2 linked regions of the Sus scrofa genome follow. The protein of the gene in region 1 interacts with the protein of each later gene in a pairwise test. Links are inferred from orthologs where the notes say so. Each region holds a gene or a part of one and is shown in the gene's direction. Other genes may lie near its edges.

Region 1 (3,482 bases):
CTTCCCTATGCCAAGGGGACAGCCAAAAAAGGGGAAAAAAAAAAAAAAAAAAAAAACAAGACGCTGTTGGCTTGAGGAAATTCAGTAAGGTCTGAAATACCATATTGGCTCAGACCAGGGATGCTGATCAGCCTGAGAAACCTTGGATCCATAGGTTCCTACACCCATCCTTCTCTGGGAGTGTCAGCTTTGTTTTTGCCCACTGCATATCCATGTTCTAAAAGTGAAAAACAACCACCAGTACATTGCATCTCATATTGTTGGTCACCTGAGACTGTCTGCCATATACAATCTAGGGAACTTGTGTTAATTAACTAATTGGTTAGTTAGACAAATAAAAAAGTCTTAGGAGGGATTTGGGTGTGGCTGTCAATTTCTGGAACCAGTCAGTTTGTGTGAAAGCGCAGAGGTGGGGTCTACACGAACACACCCGTGAAGGCTACATCAGTCATAAGGGGAATTAGGGTCCTTCCTGGACAAACAAGTAGAAAGACATCATACTAGTCTGTGCTAATAAATACAGCAATCTTTGTGTGATGAGATCCTAATCAAAAAATTAAAATTACATCAAAATTACCCAAGGGAAGTAGAAAAACCAAAATCAATGACCATTCAAGCACCTAACAGTATCATTAGTACATTGTCTTCAAGAAAGTTTCAGTTGTACATGTATTGACTACATTCTGCATTTTTCCTTCATAACCCCCTGGACTTGGCAGTCAGGAAATCTTTTTTTTTTTTTTTTTTTTTTTTTTTTTTTCCCCATAGCAGGCTACGGGTAGAATTGGAGCTACGGCTGCCAGCTGACACTACAGCCACAGCAACACTGGATCCAAGCCCTGTCTGCAACCTACACCATAGTTCATGTCAACATCAGATCCTTAACCTACTGAGCAAGGGCAGGATTGAACCTGCATCCTCATGGATACTAGTCAGATTCCTTTCCGCTGTATCACAATGGGAACTCGCAGTGAATCAATCAATTTTTATTGCTATCTTTCATGATTCTGATATCCCGCATCTTTTTCAGAGTTGACACATTTTCTTGGGTGACCCTGATTGTTCTGTCAGTTTAAATTCTCACACTTGTTATCCAAAACCCAAGCTTATGTGCCAACCTGGGCCTTTCTCTGAAACTCACATCTAACTTGATTCTACATATACCCAATTGAACATTTCCTAAGAAATTCAGCTTCAGCATCTTGGAAGCTTAAGTTTCCATCTTTCCTCTTAAACTTGCTCCTTGTCCAGTGCTCACCCATGTCGCTCCTCCCCCCGGCCCCAGGACCGCCTCCTTAGCCCAAACTGGACGACTGTGGGTCATGAGGCCAGTATTCCACTAGGCCCCCTACCCCTTTGGGACCTCAATACACCCCAGCCCTCCAGGCGCCCCGCCCCTACCGCCAGCCGGCAGGGCCCCCACAGACCACGGATGCGCAGGCGCACTAGCCTGTCCCGCCGCCGCCCCGCCCCGCCCGGCCGCTGCGGAAGGCGCCGCGCGCAGCAACGCGCACTTCCTCTCCAGGAGTCCACCGAGGGAGCGCAGAGTCGAAGAGCTCCTGGACGCAGCGGCCGAGCCCTTGCCAGACGGAGCAAACATGTCCGAACAAAGTAAGGACGTGTGTGACCCCAACTTTGCAGCCGATGCCTCCCACTCCGAGGTGCACAGCAGCCCTGGGGTGGCCGGGGGGCCCTCTCCGCCTGCGTCCCAGGCCGCGACCCTCGCAGGGCCAGAGATCCCTCCTGTAGGCCCACCCGACGCCCCTCTGGCCTCGCCGCCGCCCCAGGCCCTGAGCGAAGAGGGAGACCCAAAGGCTCTACAGCAGGCCGCGGAGGAAGGCCGCGCCCACCAGGCCCGGAGCACAGCCCAGCCCAGCCCAGCGCCGCCGGCCCCGGCCCAGCTGGTGCAGAAGGCACATGAGCTCATGTGGTACGTGCTGGTCAAGGACCAGAAAAGGATGATCATCTGGTTCCCAGACATGGTGAAAGATGTCATCGGCAGTTACAAGAAGTGGTGCAGAAGCATCCTGAGGCGCACCAGCCTCATCCTCGCCCGAGTGTTCGGGCTGCACCTGAGGCTGACCAGCCTGCACACCATGGAGTTCTCGCTGGTCAAAGCTCTGGCGCCTGAGGAGCTGGACAGGGTTGCTCTGAGCAACCGCATGCCTATGACAGGCCTCCTGCTGATGATCCTGAGCCTCATCTACGTAAAGGGTCGCGGTGCCCGTGAGAGTGCTGTGTGGAACGTGCTGCGCATCCTGGGGCTGAGGCCCTGGAAGAAGCACTCCACCTTTGGAGATGTGAGAAAGCTTATCACTGAGGAGTTCGTACAGCAGAACTACCTGAAGTACCAGCGCGTCCCCCACGTCGAGCCCCCTGAGTATGAGTTCTTCTGGGGCTCCCGTGCCAGCCGTGAAATCACCAAGATGCAAATCATGGAGTTCCTGGCCAGGGTCTTTAAGAAAGACCCCCAGGCCTGGCCTTCCCGCTACAGGGAAGCTCTGGAAGAGGCCAGAGCCCTGCGGGAGGCCAACCCCACTGCCCACTGCCCCCGCAACAGTGTCTCCGAGGACTAGCAAGGTCTGGAGGCAGATTGATGGTTTCTGACCCTCACCAGGGTGGTGGAGGGGTGGGGGTGGGACATTAGAGTATTCAGGATTTACAGTGCAGTATTTCACGTGTAACTTTTACGTTTTCAGTACAGTGCTTTTATACCTTTTAATGCAATGTTGTATTCATTTCAGTAATAATTAGGTAGTGTGTAGGATTCATGCATGTTTGTTTATAAGTAAGCTCAGTTGGTGCTTTCGCTTTTGTGCTACCTTTCTTGAATTTTTTGTACCAGAGACGTGCTAAACTTATGAAATACATTGAGACATTTTCCATCTTATTCTTTTACATGGGACTGATGATGTGTATGGGGGTAGACAGGTACTAGAGAGTTTGGACGAACTCACCAGTAAAGCTGGTCTAACCAAGAGAAAAGTCAAGACCTCTCTCTCTGTGATCTTGCTGGGCACAGGAAACATCTGTCTGGAGTGTGGTGATGTGGACTTAAAGGGGCTCAGTATGGACACTTGGCACAGTTTACTAAACACAAAAACAACCCCACCATGAGTAAACTTTAAACATTAAAGATTCTTGTGATACAGTCATTTTTATGGAAAAGTGTACTTTTATCTTTTTAACAAAGTAGTATGGGTTGGGAATGAGATATTTTACACAATGTACAGATATATTTCATCTCATAGGGTGGGGAAATCGTGACTCATATGTGTGAGGTGTATAGTTTTTTTTTTTGCAAAATGTAACTCACATGTTCATTTCAAAAATTTGACAAAGAGAAAAGTATGAAAAACAGAAAAGTTCATAGTCACATCACATAGAAATAGTAACTGTTCATATTTAGTTTCTTGCATTTTCTACATTTTATTAAAATTAATAGCTGTCTTTTGTGGGTAGAGTGAGGCATTGTACTAAAC
Region 2 (4,584 bases), on another chromosome or scaffold:
GAATAAATCTAATAAAAGTTTCTGAAGACTTGTACACTGATAATTGCACAAATTATCCAATATACTTCCTAAATTTCTGAGAGAAATTTTAAAAGTTCCAAGTAATTGGAAGTATATACAGGAAGTATATACATGCTCATTCCTCAAAAGACTCAGTATTTACAGTATTTACAGCAAAGTAAAATACAGCTATCTATAACAACATGGGTGGATTTCACTGGAATGTTGGTCAGAAGAAGACAGAAGAGTACACACGGAATTTTTTCATTTATGTGAAGGTCAAGAACGATCGAAACTAATTCATGGTGGTGGAGGTGAGAATAAGTAGTTACCTTTTGGAAGTATTGACTGGGAGGTGGCATAAAGAAGCCCTCTGAAATGTTGATAAAGTCCGTCCTTTCTGTCTCTTTCTTTCTTTCTTTCTTTCTTTCTTTCTTTCTTTCTTTCTTTCTTTCTTTCTTTCTTTCTTTCTTCCTTTCCTCCCTTCCTTCCTTCCTTCCTTCCTTCCTTCCTTCCTTCCTTCCTTCCTTCCTTTCTTTCCTCTTCCTTCCTTCCTTTCTCTCTCACTCTTTCTTAGGGCTGCACCTGCGGCATATAGAAATTCCCCAGCTAGAAGTCGAATTGGAGCTGCAGCGCTGGTCCACACCACAGCCTAAGCCACTGCAACGCTCCAGTTGCGGTCGCCTCTGCGACCTACACCACAGCTGATGGTAATGCCGAATTCCTAACCCACTAAGAAAGGCTTGGGATTGAACCCGCATCCTCATAGATACTGTGGGGTTCGTTGCCTCCGAGCCACAAGGGGAACTCCCAAAGTTCTCTCTCTAAATCTTAGCTGTGGTTTCAAGAGCGGATATGTAAAAATTCATACAGGCATGAGTATTTTGTGCACCTCACTGTAGTTTATGATGGCTCAATTTTTTACAATTAAATTAAAAAAAAAAGCAATGGGAAAGCATTGAAAGGGTTAACGGTGGTGAATGACACGACCCGATTTATGTTTTAAAAACAGGTTTTGTGTGACTAACAAGAAAAGGGCAGGAGCAGAAGCCAGAAGACTAGTTATGAGGTCACTGCGTGGCCCAGGCAAGGAGTGACGTTTGCTTAGACAGGAACCACGACCGTGGAAATGAAGAGGACGCGTTGGAGAAAGGTGTGAAAGCAGGCTTCGCAGGACATAGGCAATTAGACCAAAAGCCACGAACGTCTTTTTGGGTGACTACCATAGGAAATGGAAGAACAGCTGAGGAATGCCGAGACAGAAAATGAGCTCTAAAACTTGGGGTGGGAGTAGAGACTTTGGGCTAAGGAATTCCGTAAACGGGAGGCGAGGTTTGGCAGGAACAGTAGAGGCTGGTCTGGGAAAGGGGCCCGAGGGACTGCACATGAGGATGGGCAGGGGTATGCGGGATTAAGATGCTCAAAGAGGCGGGAGCTTGGCCTCGGGACTGGGGAGGTGATTCTTGGGAAGCGAGAAGTCGCTAAGGAACGCAGCTGGAGATAGGGTCAGACCCGTAGGAACTAACTGTCGGCACCCGGACAGACCCGCAGGACCAGGATTCTAGTGTGGCCCCGCCCACGAGGCTTGGAAACGCTGTCCTAGGAATGCAGAAGTTGCGGCCCCGCCTCACCTCTGGGGCGGAACCAATTGTGACGGCTGCGAGGTTTCTTGCCGGCGCTACAAAGGTGCGGCCCGAGAGCGGCGGAGTGCGCCGGCGTGACGCGGCCGCGCGGAGTGGGCGGGGCCAAGACGGCGGCGGCTTGCCAGATCGAGAGCTAGAGCGAGAGGCTGTTGTGAGACGACGGCTCCCCAAACCGACCGCCATGAGCACCAAGCAGGTCACCTGCAGGTCAGTGCGCGGCGCCGCAGGGTCCCAGAGCGCCGGGTCGCTTCGGGCCCTTCCAAGGGTGCGCCCCAGTCCTGCGCCAGGGAAGTAGGCTGGAGCCGGTTCGTGGAAAGTGGCTCCCGGTTCATCATCCGACTTCCCACGGAGTCGGTGCGGCCGGAGCCGGGGACCCGGCGGGGCGTGGCCGAGTCTCGTGGCGGAGACTCGGTCGAGGCCGGCGCGGGGGGCTGTCTACGGGTTCCAAGCGTGGTCCCTGCCCTGGAAGGAAGGGGTGCTGGCGGGGCCGTGCAGGGTGCTGGGCCCTGGAGGCGACCCCAGGACTGTGGGTGTAGCTGGAAGAGGTGACTTGGAGGAAAGAGGTTCCAGGAGGTCGTTTGCAAATGGAGATGCCACGCAGGGTTGGGCTGTTAATCGTCGGTTAGGGCCTCAAAGAACTGGAGCCCCGTAAGCGGCCTTCGTTTCCTAAGAGTTTGAAGAACTTCGGTGCAACCTAAACTTTATAGAGAGTTAGCAAGTTAAGAATTGTGTGGAAAGTAGCATTTACTGAAAGTTCGTTCTTTGTCCTGCATATTTCCAGGTCCCTTGCATTCGTTGTCACTAGCCCTCACCGTAACGTTTCTGGGCAGATGTTATTCCTATTTTACAGCGTGGGAATAAATGATGCCCTCATCTTACTGAGGGATCCATTTCCGTGGAGAAATACAACAGCAATGGGTGGATGGTTGTAAAAAATTCAAAATTGTATGACTTCACTGCTCCTGTTAAATAGAAATAGCTTGGTTTTGGTTAACACCTTCCTTCCTTGGTAAGCATGTGGTTTGACGGTATTGGGATCCTAGTCTTAATGAATTTGGGAAATAGTTTTTATTTTAATTGGTTTCAGTTAAATCTGTATGGGAAACATTGATTAGAGGAAAAAAAACAGCTCACAGTTGTAGTTTGGTTATGTAATGAACAGTGTATGTAAGTAGCATCTATGTTGTTACTTCTTTTCATTAGTATGAATAGTTGAGAAGTGACTGTGTAAAAAGTTTCAGCTAAACTGTTTAAACTGTTCAGCCAGTTTATCCAGCCCTCGATAACTTAACTTATATTAAGCAGTTGTCAGAAATTTACACTTAGTGTCTATACAAAAGACTTTTACCAGGTTATCTGTTCTAGAAGGTCTCTTGTGAAGACCTATTCGTGTGTTTATTTTTATTTGTATGACAAAGCAGTATTCTTAGTCATTGTGGACTGTACTTATGGCTGATGCTCCTAAGATATGTCAACAAAACTGCCTGTTTATATGATGCTTTATAACTGAATCTCAGCTCTTCGTGGTACCCAATTTTACAGGTGAGGAAACCTTAATGCTCAGACTTAGAGCTTGTCTCTAATTTACATCTAACTACAGGAACAAAAACTTAAGTCAAGATCATCTTGGGTTTTTTTTTGTTTTTTGTTTTTCCTTCTACACTGACCTGAAAACTTTAATTCTGTGTTTCCCAAACAGGGATGCCCTGCAGAAAGTTAGTGCTTAGAATCTAGAATGGGTTGGCATGTTGGGAAGGGATTAGTTCTGTTGAAGTACTAACTGATGTTCATTGTAGGGCTTGCAATGTGCTAGGTGCTCTTTGAGGTTCTTTACCAGCTGTAATTCGTGGCACAATCCAGCACTATGCACCAATGCATAGATTGATTGTGAAACAAAGCCTCAGCATTGAAGTGACTTGCCAGGGTTATCCAGCTTCCAGGTGGCTGCAGTATGGCTTCAGAGTTCATGCTCCTGTAGATTCTATGGCCCATCCAAATCCATAGGAAAGTCAAAAGAGATCACTTCAGTTCCTGTCGTGGCTCAGTGGTAATGAGTCTGACTAGTATCCACGAGGATATGGGTTTGATCCCTGGCTTCGCTTGGTGGGTTAAGGATCTGGCATTGCTGTGAGCTGTGGTGTAGGCTGGCAGCTATAGCTTCAATTTGACCCCTAGACTGGGAACTTCCATAGGTCGCAAGTGTGGCCCTAAAAAGACGAAAAAAGAAAAAAAAAAAAAAAAAGGTCGCTTATAAAGGGATGTGAAGGAGTCTGACCTCATAAGGACTACCTTGCCAAATAAAAACCAGAACATGTATTTATTTATTTATTTATATTTTTTTCTTTTTAGGGCTGCACCCATGGCATATGGAGGTTCCCAGGCTAGGGGTTGAATCGGAGCTATAGCTGCCAGCCTACACCACAGCCACAGCAACTGGAGATCCAAGCCGTGTCTGAGACCTACACCACAGCTCACGGCAACGCCAGATCCTTAACCCACTGAGCAAGGCAAGGGATCAAACCTGCAATCTCATGGTTTCTAGTCAGGTTCGTTTCTGCTGTGCCACCGTGGGAACTCCAAAAACCAGAACGTGTATTTAAATGGGAAAAACAGCGATATTACCAAGAGTACCAAGTTTACATTAATGTGCTTATGATGGCAAATGCTTTTCTCACTTCATCATCTTATTCACTCAAGTCTTATATCCAGATATTAGTAACTTACAGGAAATGTTCAAGGCATGATTTACTGGGGAGACTACACCTAAACAAGGTAATCGGCTGTTTTTGGTTTGCTTTCCTGACTGTGGGATGTGATATACATGCTTATTCTGAATGGCAGCAAGACAGAGTGTTAGTTTTGCTTCCGTTCTAATATAAATTATTTCTCTCCAAGAGATGAATGTGAAATGCTAGAATTCCCAAACTTAATGACAAAGACA

What was found.
Region 2: the proteins of NDN (region 1) and MKRN2 interact in a two-hybrid assay, tested with the Homo sapiens proteins (2 studies listed by BioGRID and IntAct). The link is inferred for Sus scrofa from reciprocal best matches to the Homo sapiens genes NDN and MKRN2.

Annotation. Positions count from the first base shown.
Region 1 is NC_010443.5:142,411,090-142,414,571, forward strand, and holds NDN (necdin), read left to right. Parts: upstream 1-1,598; coding exon 1,599-2,576; downstream 2,577-3,482. UniProt on the Homo sapiens protein: Growth suppressor that facilitates the entry of the cell into cell cycle arrest.
Region 2 is NC_010455.5:68,544,910-68,549,493, forward strand, and holds the start of MKRN2 (probable E3 ubiquitin-protein ligase makorin-2), read left to right. Parts: upstream 1-1,572; 5' UTR 1,573-1,605; coding exon 1,606-1,850; intron 1,851-4,584. UniProt on the Homo sapiens protein: E3 ubiquitin ligase catalyzing the covalent attachment of ubiquitin moieties onto substrate proteins.